Linked DNA regions of Drosophila melanogaster. The protein of the gene in region 1 interacts with the protein of each later gene in a pairwise test. Each region holds a gene or a part of one and is shown in the gene's direction. Other genes may lie near its edges.

Evidence for each region.
Region 2: the proteins of Spf45 (region 1) and CG13171 interact in a two-hybrid assay, tested with the Drosophila melanogaster proteins (one large-scale study listed by BioGRID).

What each region holds. Positions count from the first base shown.
Region 1 is NT_033779.5:23,064,877-23,073,020, reverse strand, and holds Spf45 (Spf45), read left to right. Parts: upstream 1-4,634; 5' UTR 4,635-4,704; coding exon 4,705-4,821; intron 4,822-4,829; exon of another isoform or gene 4,830-4,876; coding exon 4,877-5,876; intron 5,877-5,937; coding exon 5,938-6,032; 3' UTR 6,033-6,147; downstream 6,148-8,144.
Region 2 is NT_033778.4:12,210,354-12,217,022, forward strand, and holds CG13171 (uncharacterized protein), read left to right. Parts: upstream 1-3,656; 5' UTR 3,657-3,676; coding exon 3,677-3,997; 3' UTR 3,998-4,042; downstream 4,043-6,669. Other genes in the region: Sr-CII (scavenger receptor class C, type II), read right to left, coding at 1-444, 571-790.

The sequences.
Region 1 (8,144 bases):
CTTTAGGGTATTTAATGCAACCTTTAAAGTTCGCTACATGGGGCTTTCCACAGTGATGGCAACTTCTGGCATCATCTTGCTTATGCGTAAACTCCGATGTGGAGTGGTTTTCCCCACATTCTCTAGAAATAAAATGCAGAAACCAGTATTTCTTGGTGTGACCGTAGCCTTGACATCTATGACATTGTGCATGCAAGAGAAACCCCTTGTCACTCGATGCTTGTAGACAATAAGGATTAAGGATAAGGATTCTAGATTTCAAAAAACTTTTTTAAATTAGGGAAATGCAGTTTTCAATACACAATTATAATCTTTCGCGTTCATTTTTGGTGTTAAAAACTGTAATTCTCAGGGGCCATAATAGGATACTGCGCCCCATACCATGACAACTCCAATTTTTCCTGCCAGGATAACAGCGTTCCTCTTCCCATATTTTTCGCAAAATTAAAGAAAACTTTTCAATTTAACAGCATAAAAAATGTTGTTGTCCTAGCATTCGGAATATAGCATTCGCAATATACTTGTCCAATTTTTCGTCGAAAGTAAAACAAAGCAGAATTAAAAAGATTACGGTTCTTCTCAGGACCTATTTTTTTTTCCTCAAAGAGAGAGGAAATATCAGTGAACAAAAAACAATAACATTGATAGATTTTCGTGCAATGGAAAATACAGACCATAAGATGAAATGGAGGCATACAGGGGGCGTTTATCTGATGACGCACAGTGTGTAGCAACCCGAATTTTACAAATTTTGTCCATGGGTTTTTGCGGCGAAAACTAATTTCACTTTTTCAAGTTGTTCGGCTCACTACACGTTCTTCTGCTGCTGGGCTTGCCACATTTATAAAAATGACAGCTGATTGTACGACCGCGTGACAGCTGGGCAGGGGAGCTCAACAAAGAATAAATTACACTGTCTTTTTTTTATTGAAATTGTTTAGGTTTCACTATGATTTCACTTATAGTGACTTGGGGGTCACTGTTTATTGTATGTGCCAGAATTCTGGACTTCTCTATGGGCTTTTGCGGTAAAAACTAATTTAACTTTTTCGCGTTGTTTTGCTTGGTGTCAGTAGTGTGACCAGACTTCGGAGCATGCATGAATAATTTTAATACAAATACGAAATAGGAACATTTTAGGGGCATTTTTTTTATATGAATGGAGATGAACCACCAAATTTCTAACACTCTATAAAAATTCAATTCGTTAACACGATAGAAAATAAAAAAATAAATTTAATATGACTTTAATACTGACTTCAGATTGCGAAATACAACTCACAAAACAATACCTGTGATCGATCCCAAAGCAACTTGAATTTGTTTCTTATTAACTATTGTAAGGTAGCTGGTCGTGCTAAAAGTAGGCACGTTAATTGGAAGTTCTAGAGAATGGGAATAATTGTAATTGAGCCCATCAATTCCTTCAATGAGCCCTTCAATCAACTCCACAAATCGCTTCCAAGCCTTGTTCAACGAATGACGCCCATATTCATGTCTCAAGGAAAACAATACGTAACAAACAGTCGGCCAGTGTTAACCAATCTGACCAATCTGTAACATCCCCCATTGAGTTTCAATGGAGGACATCATCGCATGCCTACAGAATACGCCATAGCGTTGTACGTGTATATACTCGACGCAATAAGTCGAACTCACTCCTTGTTAATATGAGGTTTATTGATCTCAAAAAAGGTAAATAACTAGTTTGTCAAGAAAATTCTTATTGTCTGCAAGTCCAGTATTTTTCTGCCCTATCGATCGACCGCCATTATTGCGGCGCCCCTTCCCTATTTTATGCACTGTTTTGATGCCAACAGCCGATTTGCTTTGTTTACATCGATAGCAGCTTTATGGTGGCATCCTTGCTCCTGATGCTGGGAACCATCGCTTTGCATCCCTGCCTTTTCCACGCTGTCAGTCGGCTTCAGTCCTCTTGAGTTCTTGCTCCTATTATCCAGGTGCATACCCTACTTGGGGCCGGCGCTGATTTTCCAGGCTCGAACTCTTTTTCCTGCGCGAGTGTACCTGCTCGAACTCCTTCTTCTGTTCGCGAGTTGAAGATTACGATCCCCGTTTCGTCTTTCCCCTTCCCCTATTAGAATTCGTCTCCGACATGAATTGGTCTCCTCCATGCTGGCTGCTTGATCAAAACAATGACGGTTGGGCGCCAAAAGTAACAAGCTGTTTAGTTCTACTCGCTACGAATTGCAGCGGCGAGCTCAGAGAGTTTTTGTGTTCGTCCCATCAAATTTTTGATTTGTGTGAGTACCTGACCAAGGAGAAGACAGAGTTTCAGATTAAGGGCGCTTTATTGTAGTATTTCACGGCTGACTGCTGATCGCCGTCTGCTGCGCGGCGTTGCTCCTGCGACGCCTTGCCTTCATCTTCCTGTGTGTCCCTGACAACGGAACACGTGCAGGATCGAAAGGGATTAGGATGTCATGGGCCAGGGTATATCGTCAACTGGTTAAGGCAACACTCGGCCAGGGACTACCCTTACCGACCACTGACTCCACTGTCCCTTCTGACCAGGTTCTTGTGTTATCGTGCTCCGCGGATCTCTGCATTGCACCGTTCTTCACCTGGAGTGATTGTCCTTGTATGTCCGCTCACTGGCTAATTCCCTTCTACGTCCTGCGCGTTCTCACAGACCGTTACCTTGTCGACGGGTGCGCGTTTTTCACTGACGGGTTGACTGTTCGCGGCGTTACTCTTACTTTCTCACTGTTCGTTCCCACTCGCGAATCTCTTGTCGCCTTGTTGGTATAGGTGGTCGCGGGGATCGCGTTATTTTTTTGTGCACGGTCCGCTCAGGTACAAGGCCACGTTAGTTCAAGGTGCGTCCTCTTTGTGCTCGTCCAAAGTCCGCATTGTTACCGTTCGACCTTGGGCCTTGGCCGTCCAGAGCTCGAGTCAAAGGTCCAGCGCAATACCGTTAGTTCACGGTCTCTCCACTTTGTCGGGGTCCAAGGTCCATTATTTTCCGTTCGACCTGGCCGCCTGACAACTCTCACATTCCAGCCGTCTTCGCTGTTGCTAAGCAGCTTTCCTAAGTTGTATTTTTTGAGAGTTTTAAGACTCCTCACAGTATTCAGCTCGCGACGTATGAAATCCGCATGTCGTGCCCTAAAATTTAGCAACAAGTTGTATATTTATATTTATTATATAAATATTCATTTTTAACTATGTATGTATGTTTGTATAGTTTTTATGAAATACATTTTTTAAAATGTATATATATTTTTTAAATTTATTTTTTAAATTACAAAAGTTTTATCCACAATTTTAGATAAAATTCATTTGATTTATTAGTTGAAATAATAAACATAATTTTAATTCTGTTATGTTGCTCACAGTCTCATGTTGAAGTATGTCTCCAGTACCATTTTACAAATATTAATTATAAACAATAAAATATATTTATGTGAACGGTTGATAATAATTTAAATAACATTAAGAATAAAAACAATAATGGTCAAGGCATTAATTTTTAAATCATTTTTAAATATGTAACTTCGCTTCTTAGATCAATATTAATTTCGGTTCGAAAATCGTCTTCTACGCTCTCAATTTCACGCGAGGCGGAGTAAGAGCAATTTTGGCCGTCACAAACCTCTTGATATTCGAATGTCTTTGCTTAGACATCGGTAGTCCCCGTGCCGCATGTAATTGGCAATTCTGTATGATCTTGATCAACACTAATCTACAAATCTCTTTAAATGACACAATGAAAATGCTAAGATATGCAAAACTTACGAAAAGCACATTCCCCGCAGGAATCTTCCTTTACTTTCTCAGTCGATTTATTATGTCTTGGCAATCGAGTAACTACAGTTCAATCCACTATACATTAACTGTTGCACAATTTATCGCTACAAAAACCATTACAAAATCAAATGGTTCGGCTAAACAGACGACGCTCTTACTGGCTCTCTCAAGCATTATTTATCATAAAATTTTGAATTGTGAAAAATTGATGCTTGTTTTGCTTTTATTAGTTTTAAGAAGTTTAACTTGTGTTAACTATGGGAAATCTTTATACAAAGTTATTCGATTTAAGCCCCGCCCACACTCTCATGAATAGAAGTAGTAACATTTTCCTTGTTTCGTAGCGTTTAAAGGGGTTTGTTTCCTATATATTCGATGATAGTAGTATCTTATCGTGCATAGGTAATTAAATACCTTCTTTCAAGGTATTTATTTTGAAAGCAACGAAAACATTATGAAGTACGACTTGTTTTTAACAACTGTAAGCTCTTCTTAATTTTTTTCTTCAATATCGATAATATTTAGCGTGTAAGTCGTAAGCTCTACTAACTATGACTATGCCATAGATGCAAGGCAATCGTTGTGCAATAGTTTTTATTTTAGTAAAACAGTGAAATTAAAAACAGTTCGATGACCCATGTAGTTGACTTAAGTTTCAACATAAAATAGACGCATGCGTTTTTTTGTGTTAGAAAAATTTTAAAATAAATTTAAATAAATAAATAGATTTGTAAACTTTTTTCTATTGTAGCTTATCTGTTCTTGCCCGATAGGGCATCCTTTCTTGCAGTGATATGGCTCTGTGTGAATCGGACATTAAGTCGAACAGTTGATAGTCATTAAATCTATCGGGCCTTGAAAATAAATAAAAACATTGTTGAAGCTCGTTGTCATCAATATCTTAAGGTGGTGCTAGTATTGATATATTTGTTAATGGATTTGTATGACGGCATTGATACGAGGGCTCGATCTAGCCAGATTGATGGATGGTCTTCGGGAATAAAAATGTTACAGACCCAGCTGGCAGTAAAAATGGCTGTCAAAAAACCAGTGAGTATACAATCTGCCGATATAGATCATACAATTATTAATACACCCTATGTAGCTTATGACGCCAGTGGTTAATCTAAGGTCCAAACGCCTTGCAGATCCAGAAGTTACATGTTTTGCTCCAATTACTACAGTTGTATCCAAACCATTAATAAGTGGTAAAGCCCTTCCATCCATACTGGAAAGGATAAACAGGGGGGACTGGGACGTTGCCGATGAATACGATCCTCAAAGGCCAAATGAATATGAAAAACTTAAAGAGAAAAGTAATGGCAGTGACAAAAATCGAGCAGGCGTAAGTGATCGAGAAGACCGAGATGACAAAGAAAAAGATCGTAAACGTGGACGCGTCGGTCGTCGAGAATTTTATAGAGACGAAGTCTCAGCCCCTAACCTGAAGCTCAGCGGGTTTGGCCACCGGCAAAACGATGATGACATGTACTTGCCATCTCCGGGCCTTGTAGCTAAACAGGGAGGTGCCACAATCGCTCCCCCTCCTTCCCTCCAAGAAATGTCCATTGATAGTGGTTGTGAAGCCACTAATACTATGCCATATTCTGCCAGCTCGGTGGCCGCCAAAATTATGGCAAAATATGGGTTTAAGGATGGTCAAGGTCTCGGAAAATCGGAGCAGGGCATGGCCATAGCTCTTCAAGTAGAGAAAACCTCCAAACGTGGTGGACGGATCATACACGAAAAAGACGTTTTTCTGCCACCCCTAGCATTGTCGCCACCTTCTATTGGCTCCCAAATAGGAACAAGTCCCAGCCACAAGGCCATGCCTCCTCCCCAGATGGTAGACACGGCGGCTGAGAGTGGTGACATCGGATACAGCATTACGGAGATTATGAAATCACCAAGCAAGGTTGTTCTTCTACGCAACATGGTAGGACCCGGGGACGTTGACGAAGAATTGGAACCCGAGGTAAAAGACGAATGCAACACCAAGTACGGGGAAGTGAACAGTGTAATCATTCACGAATCGTTCGGAACTGTGCCAGAAGATGCAGTTAAAATATTCGTAGAGTTTAGGCGGATCGAAAGTGCAATTAAAGGTTTTTATACATATGTGAATACTTTGTTTGGTAAATAGTTAGCTTTTATTTTTCTTTGCAGCTGTAGTGGACCTTAATGGACGTTTTTTTGGAGGACGTCAAGTGCGAGCGGGGTTTTACAACTATGATAAGTTTAAATGTTTCCAATTACATTAGAACTAATACAACTAAGATTGCATTTATTTTTTTCTAAGTTATTGATAGCCTAAAAAATGTTTACCGCACAGAACTAGTCTTGTAAATTTCTATTAAAAACTACTTTCTATCAAACAAAAACATTTTGACCATATTTATGTATATTTTTATTGTTGGGGTCGCTTACACAGTTTAGGTAACAAAGTGGAATACCCCTGGCTTTAGACCTTATGCTATGTTGGTTGGACCAAAGACACTAGAATAACAAGATGCGTAACGCCATACGATTTTTTTGAAAACGATTTTTTCGGAGCTGTTTTTTTACAGCAAACAGCTCATACAGTGACAGCCGGCAACTGTATGTGTGCACACGTATGCTCATGCATTGTTAATTTGACAAAAAATGCCCTTCACTTTACAAGTTTCTAGACTTTAAATATTTATTATTTTTTATCAATTGTCTCCATTTACAAAATTCCTGTTTTGCATAGCCTTAACGTTGTTATTATTTAGCTTAGAAATAGTAATAGCCGAATCAATGCACAGTGCCGCTCAACTGAATAGGTTGACTATTTTTAAATCCGAAACAAATTTGTATGTATGAATAGCTCAGTTATTAATAGCTGTTAAATAGCAAAGTTTCTGATCTCTTAAATTTGTTTTTATATCATTTTTTTTTTCAAAAACAACAAAAAATCTTCAATTTTTTGGCTTAACTGAATAGGTTTTACGCTTTTGACTTTACTTTTTGTTTGACCGCGTGATTGTAAAAAGTTAAATTCTTTTGTATTCTAAAATATAAATTATCTTTTTTAATCTTTTTCTCAAATGGTCCGCGGAAAACCTTTATCCGATTTTGAAAAAGGTCAAATCAAAGGCTATATTGAATCTGGTTTAAAACACTGTGTAATAGCCAAGAAAATCGGTCGAAGTCAAAACGTTGTGAGTAATTTTCTTCGTAATGAAGCCGACTATGGAATTGGATTATTTTAATTGTGTTTATTAGTGAAAAGTAAGTGGGTATGTGGGATACGATTAATAATTGGTTATAAGCAATAATGTCATCAGGTACCAGATGGCTGTGAAATTGAAAGTAGATTATTTTTCTTTTGTTTTGTAGTAGTGCGTAACTCTATTTCTATTAGTGATTTTGTAATGGTCAGGGTCAGTCTGTTCTAGATTTTAGGCTAGTTTAAATGGATTTTCTAATTTGCCTTTCTGTAGTGGGCTTTTTGTGTTGGGCAGTATCTCGTGTCGACTTCGTATACCATTCTGTCACTGTTGAGAAATATGTGTACAGGGTATCCAGTGGTCCAGTGGTATCGTGTTTGGTCTTGTGATTGTATATCTTAAGTATTGTTTTTATTTTGCTTAAAGTCTTAATCGCCCATACAGTTGCCAAGTTATTTCTCAATTGCGCTGTAATTGACCTCGTGTTCATTGTGAGAGTACTCTTGTGGAGAGTCTGTGGTTAAAATAAATTTCTTTGTAAAGTATTTTAATTTTTTAAATGCTGAGGCATATTGTGGGTTGGTAGTATCAATTTTGATCTTTTTTAAACACTTAGTCATGGGTTAGGCTTATGTCTGCAAAGTTTGGAATGAATTTACGGTTGGTTTAGTGGGAATTGTGTATTTCTGAATGGCTTTAATCTTTTAAGGGTCTGGTTTTATTCCGTCTGTATTTGGAACATGTCCCAAAAATGTGGTTGCATGCTTGAGAAACTCACACTTGTCAAGCTGTAATTTAAGGTTTAATTTAAGCCTTTCCTAGTTTTTCAAAAACTATTCTGAGCGGTTGTCAGTGTTTATTTAGGAGCGGTCGTAAAATGTCATTCATGCACCGTTGAAAGGTGGCTGGTGCGTTTTTTAATCCGAATTGCATGCGCAAGTATTCATAATGACCGTGGTTGGTGGAAAAGGCTGTCTTTGAAACTGATTCTGGGTCCATCTCGATCTGGTGAAAACCCTTTGCCAGGTCTATAGATGTGAAATAATTACACCTGCCTAGCTTTCCTAAAATTTTTGTTTGCCTGACGCATCTTGTTTCTTTGGAACCACCCAGATGGGACTATTGTAAGATGAGTTACTGGTACGTATAATACCCTGATTTAGCATATCGTGCATACCTCTT
Region 2 (6,669 bases), on another chromosome or scaffold:
AGTGAAACCGAAAGCAGCAGGCGACATTCAAACAGAGAGATCTCGGATATACCGGCGATACGAAGTGGTAACTGCCATAAGCCTCGATCTGGGTCTCCATGCGCATATAGTGTCCACCCGAAGTGTTTCCAAAGGTGTGATCGTATCGTGGTCCTGTTCTGGGGTGGTGAAAATCCGTCACCGCACTGATCCTCTTCCAGGGCAACCAGATGGTCTCCTCCGCAGACCAGCCGCACTGATCCTCGCTCTCGAAGTCGCAGGAGTGGTCCATCGTGTGGTTGCTTCTCCGGCAAGCTCCCAGCTGTGTGCTCCACTTTTCTCCATCGCAGAAGGCAGTGCGACTTCCGTATAGAACGAAACCATCTAAACACACGATTTCCGCCTTTACAGGATTATCTAAAACATATCCGTTTGTGGGATCCTCAGGCTTATCGCATCCTTTCCCTTAAAATTAAAATGAAAAAAATCAAAATTTTGTTGATAACTAGTATGATGATATGAAATGTTCTTGTTTCATATTCTTAGTTCGATTTGAAAGGGTGTACATTTTCGAAAACTGTCAACACTCACTGGCACAAAATGGTTTCTTCTCGCGAAGTCGACCATCCCGATCGCAGGTGTGTATTGAATTTCCCTGCAACACAAATCCGCGATTGCATTGGAAAATCACTAAATTGTTCGATCGTGTGAAGAATCGTCCATTTTCCAAATCTAACGATCCTTCGCAGCTTCCGTTTGCGGTATCCAAACTGTAGGCTAAAATCAATGTCAGAGCCAAGAAAAATTGCATAGCTCCGATTTTTTTTTTCTTCAATTCTGTATGTATATTAAGGAGATTCGAAAGGACAGTGACTGCTACCTGATGCTCAACTGATTCGAGTCCTGATTCAAGTCGAGTCCTTAAGGGCGGGTTCGTCACCAGCTGATTTTTCGCAGCTGCAAAAAAAAAGATGTTACCGTTCATTAAATCGTTTTGAATGTAAATCAACATCTTTACCGTTGCTGGCAATCGATGTATAGTGTGGCCATATAAACAAAAAAATGTTTCATTTAATAAATAAGATTTTATTTAAAAATACAATTATTTGACAATTATTTGAAAAAAATACATTTTTCTAAAATGCGAATGTATATAAAAACGTATTTTTGAAACGTAAACAGCCTGAAATCAACAGTCAATCCTTGCAATTCTTTAATTTACTGACATCCAAATTTTTCACATAATGATAACGCACAATTTCTGTCATTAAGATCTATAAGGGTGCTCAGAAGTGGCTAGGGAGGGAGGGAGGTTCTCCTCCAAGGAGCACATAAGAATAAGCCAAACATCAGGTGTAAGTAAATGAAAGACCGAGTAAGAATGCGAGGAAAGCAAAACGCCAACATGAGCAGCTCATAAAAACCCAAGAAGGCGAAATGTTTAGGTTTAAGTGGGCGTCCTCTTGGAGGAGATGGCGACGTGGATGGGTGGCTGGGTTCTAAGATGGCTGGGAGGGGGGTTCTGTTGTCCGGGTTGACTTACCGGAATGAAGCCGCCTGCATGCCGTGGCATGCCCGGCCTGCATTTAGCTAATCCACAAGTTTAGCACAACAAAGGCAAAAGCCATGGAAGGCACAACTCAAGGTCCTTGCGATGACGACGATGACTACGAGTGGAAATGGCCGAGGACGATGGTGAGAATGTGGACGAGGGACTGGTACTGGGACTGGCGTAAGTGGATGCGGGACGACGACTACTTGACAGTCTTGGCTCGGCTTTGTTTTTTTTTTTTTGGTGGAACGAAGGCACCACCCATTTTCTCGTCGCCCACCAAAACGCTGGCTGCATCTTAAATTGTGTTTCTTGAATTTTAGTATTTCCATTTCTTGCCGAGGGAGCGACGTCTGGGAGCTGAGAATTTGAGAATTTCCGAATTTTTAGCTCTGACCTGCTCGCATATGTAAATTGATGGCTTTGTTTGTCTTTCGGGCTCAGCTTGAAATTCGTAAATCCGTTGAAAATCCTTTTTAACTTTTAATGATGGGGCCGCTGTGGCAGAAAGTGGGCCAATGTTTTCCCATGGGATTTGCGTAAAGTATCTGCTAAAAGCTTTCCCCATTCCCTTTGCCAGTCCACGTTTTTTGGCCAAAAAGGCAGCTCCGACCGCATCGACGTAGACACCCCCTCTTTACCCCATCCACCATCCCCTTTCGCCCAGGAGTCAACATCAATTTCGTTTTCATCAATTTCGGTCGGAGGTCGGAAAATGGTGGAAATGGTCGTCTTCCAAAGCTGTCTATTCCAACAAGACCGAAAACAAGACGAAAAGCAACAGAAAGAGAGAGAGAGAGAGGGCGGTGAGGGAAAGAGAGCGAAAAAGTTGGGAAAAACTTGAGAATGTTCAACTTAGTTTTCATTAATTTGTTGTTCTAGTTGGACCACTTATAAAAAAGTTGGCTTAATCTTTTGGCTCTCGGGTGACTGCAAATTTAACCCAGTAGTTGAGATACAAAATTTCAGATCGGTATTTCACCAATTGAAATTCGCTCGAAAATAAAACCATTTAAGTCGATCAGATTTTCGGAAATTGCTTGCTTCTCCAGCCATAAAGTTTTGATTTAAAACATTACTTATTTTCTAGCTGTGTTAATTAAATGGGTTAGTTTAATATTAAATTAATTTAATAATTCCGACTGAAGATCAATTTGTATTATTGCTTTTGTATGTTATTGTATATTGTATACTCCATTAATTTGAACTGCTGTAATTAAAAGCATTCTAAAAGGAAACCCATCAAATCAAATGAAAGCAGCTGAAATTTATTGATTGAATTCGCATAACACATTTTGGCACTCAGGGAGCATACATTTTTAATTGGCCCCGTTGCTGTGGCTCCAGTTAGAAATGAGAATCCGTAATTTGCTTTTGGATACGGATTTGGCTGTACGCCCAAGACAAATGCTCGCAATTATCCGAGCATAAAGTAGGTGCGTGTGCCTTCTGTGCACCCACACCACCGCATTCCGGTTTCCGGCGAAACAAGGACACTCTCACACACACACACCTACCAAATCTGAAGCACGTGCGCAAATTATCTTCAAGGCGAGAGAGCCTGAATAAAATAACAGCTGCAAACAGACGCATAAACAAATGAAACGATGATGGCAACACTTCTCTCCGGGCACACAACCCCATCCCAGGACTCGGCCTAAACTCATTAATTATCTAGGAAGGGAAGGGGGGGGGGATGCAGGTTGCAGGACATGCTGCCGTGACCAGCCATGAATACACCACATTGTGTTTGTAATCAACTTTGCCGCCGAGCATCAAATATGCTTAATGCGCTCTTCGATTGTTCGTCCTTAATGATGGGTCGACTTGGCTCAAATAGTGGCCATCAATAGTTCAGTTTCAGCTTGTGAATTCATGTCGTTTTGGAAACTGTTTTCGCATACATACCCACAAGGTTCTTTCATTGCTAAGTGGTCAAATTTGGCTATATCATCTATAAAGTGGCTTAGATATAAAAGGAAATGTATGCTTTTCACATAAAGAACACCATAAATATAACATAATAGCTCCTTACTTTTTTAGTCTAGAATTTATGAAATTATTTAATGGAACAACTAATATATATCAGTAAGTCAGTTCACATTCTCTATCACCCAAGGAACCTAGTATGTGTACGTATTTCAAATGTCTGCCTTTAAAATTGCTTATGCCTGTCGTTATTGTGGCAATATCGTCAGCTACAAGTCAGCCAAAGTGAATGAGACGCCCTACGACTTGCTCCTGAGCCGTACCTTCAACCTAATCCAAGAGGACAGGATCAGGGAGACAAATGGGGAGCGATTCCAGAATCTGCACTGCTCCAAGTGCCGCATGGAACTGGGTCTGCTGTGCTTGCAGAGCGAAAGGAATGTCCAACTGAAGGGACTTTCGCTGTTGGAGAAGGTTCATCTGGTGGTGTACGACTCGTACGAGGTGCCATTCGAGATGGCCTCACTTCGTGACTGATGAAGCGTGTGGAAATAAAGTTTGAGGGAAAACAATTAACAATTTAAGGTGACACACGGTTGCTATGTCTGCACTTGACGCTTTGGTCCGTTGATGCGCACACTTATGTACATACATATGTATGTGTGCAATATATATACACTTGACTTTGCACGAGCTTGTCACTTTGGAATGTTTTGGCAAGCGTGAAAATGATTTGCTCGACTTGCGACTGCCGGAGCATTAATCAAAATCAATCCAAGGAATCGTGCCAGACGAGGACATGCGGCAGCCATCAGAGTTTCAAACAAAAGTCTGTGCCAGGCACGCTGGAAAAAAATCCAAAATAATTTGCACTCAACGCTGTGACAGTTGGAAAGGCACATCCTTTCCCTTTCGCCGGAAATTAGGTCGCTCCTCCCAGCTGTCTTCTAGGCATCCTCACACTCACACACACCACCTACACCTCTGAGTGGCTCAATGGCAAAAGGCAAAGGCATTTTAATGATTTTAATTAACTGCATGTTTGCCTGTAATTACAACGGCAACAATGCAATTACGCCGCATGTACAGCACTGGGTGGCCATAAACAACAAGGCTCCGGGTCAGAGGGCAAGGCCAGTTGGCCGCCTGTCTTTTGTCATCACTCCATACCTCCATCCATTCCTCCAGGCCAGTCCCCTTCAAAGTAACTCCTCGGGCTACTGCTCCTCGTGCTCCTCCTGTGCTCCATCCGGGTGACACACCTCGGATGACAGAATAATTACATGCAGAGCCACCAGGCCCCCTAGTTCATTTGCTTTTAGTGCCCCAGCTGGAAGCTATTCCTGGAGAGCGTCGACAGAGCAGTGCATCATACCGAGAGGGACATGGGTGCGTACCAGAGGGGTTCCTTGCCAGAAATATTGGGAAAGTTTTCACATATATTAGTTTGCTAAAATGTAAAAGGATTTAGGTGCCTATGAGTAGGCCAAGTTTATAGACGTCATAAAATGGTCCGGACCAATTATATCATAAAGTACGTTCAATAAACAAACTTTTGAAAGAAAAATTTCTAAAAATATTAAAGCAAATGTAGGTCAAAGTGCACACTCAGATTCTATCATTTTTGACTTCTTAGTAATATAACTTAAATCCTTAAAAACGTTCACTATTCAATTTCGAATTCGGCCAGTCATAAATCAGTTGTCAAGTTGTCAGTAGCTTATTAAATAAATTGGAGACGGTCCACAACCCCATTGGGCAACGTCCTTGGCCTTGGCGCATATTACTAATACGACATGTGGCCCGACGCAAGGTACAAGTGTAATTATAGCCGGCAAATGTCCTGTCGCTGTCCCTGAGTGTCACGGATGCCAGGCCAATACTTGTTGCTTTCTGTGGGCGATGGGCGATTCTGTGGGTTTGGTGGGCGGAAGAGTGAAAAGTGGGCGGGGCCGGGTCTATTGTGTGCTCAGTGACCGTAAATATCAAGTAATTTTCTGCAATTTTTCTACGCTGCCAATTGATTTATGGCTTGCTGCCGCCATGGCCTTCTATTGCCATGCCGCCCTTCCTGACGCCCACTTTGCTTTGTTTGCAAAACAAAAGGCCAGCCAAGTGAGCGTTGTCCTTCCACAATAACAACGAAAACATCAGCAGAACAAGGAGCCGGGGCAGCAAAGGACTTGTATGCATTTTAAGCCTGTGGCTGCCTATCAACTGGTCGCCAATCGCAATTCGTTTGAGGAGCAACTTGTGCAACAATTAAAACTGTATTTATGTTTAAAGTTAGTACTACAAACTATGTAATGAGGAACTAATGCTATTGTTTTTGGGCAATTTACGACTATGCTAGGTTTAAGTACCAATTTTTTGCACTGTGTATTTGAAAATGTGGCGCCAGTTGCCGCTGCCAGAAAAAGCATTTGGGTTTGTCAACCCAGACCGCCTGAACAACCGCCGAACACAGCCCCTCCCCCCCTCCCCCTCTGCACTCCAGAACGTCTCGGCATGGGGCGTGGTCATTTGTGACGTTTAACAAGAAAATTCGTTTAGTGAATTTCATTTACATTTTTGTGTCAAACAGCAAAAGAAAAAAAAAAACCATGAAAGCGAAAATGGAGCGGAATAAAAGTAAACGATACAGAAGCAAAATAATTTGCCTGCGTAAGCGGCATTTTTTATGCACTGCCCTGGTGCTCGATAAGCTTTTTGGTCTCCCTCATAAAAGTTGTCCGGCTTAATAAGGCGTTGCGTTACTCATACGCCACGTGGTGCACAGCAAGGATTCGGTAATGTGAACCCCAACGCGATGCCAGTAAACTATTTATGCATGTACATACTCAGTTTCAACACAATTTCCATACTCCCTGAATGTTCCGCGCCGAACCTTCCACATGCAAATGGAGTAATTCGATTTTTTCCGGGCCTTGGCTGCAGGAATTAACTCCCGGGAATGGACGGAACTTTGGTGGGGGGGCGTTCCCAATGGGTTGCCAACTGCAGGACAAGTTATGGCAATCAATCGATACATTCATAGGCAAAGTGGCTCGTATAGAGGAATGGAGAATCTGGCAACAGGCGAAATAGGTCTATTTACATACCCAAAGCTTTAATTGAAAGAATTGTTAATAGATTTATTGATAGATCTACATAACTTTCATTTCAGCCTCCTGCCTTCTTTGAAATCATCTTTAGCCACTATATAATTA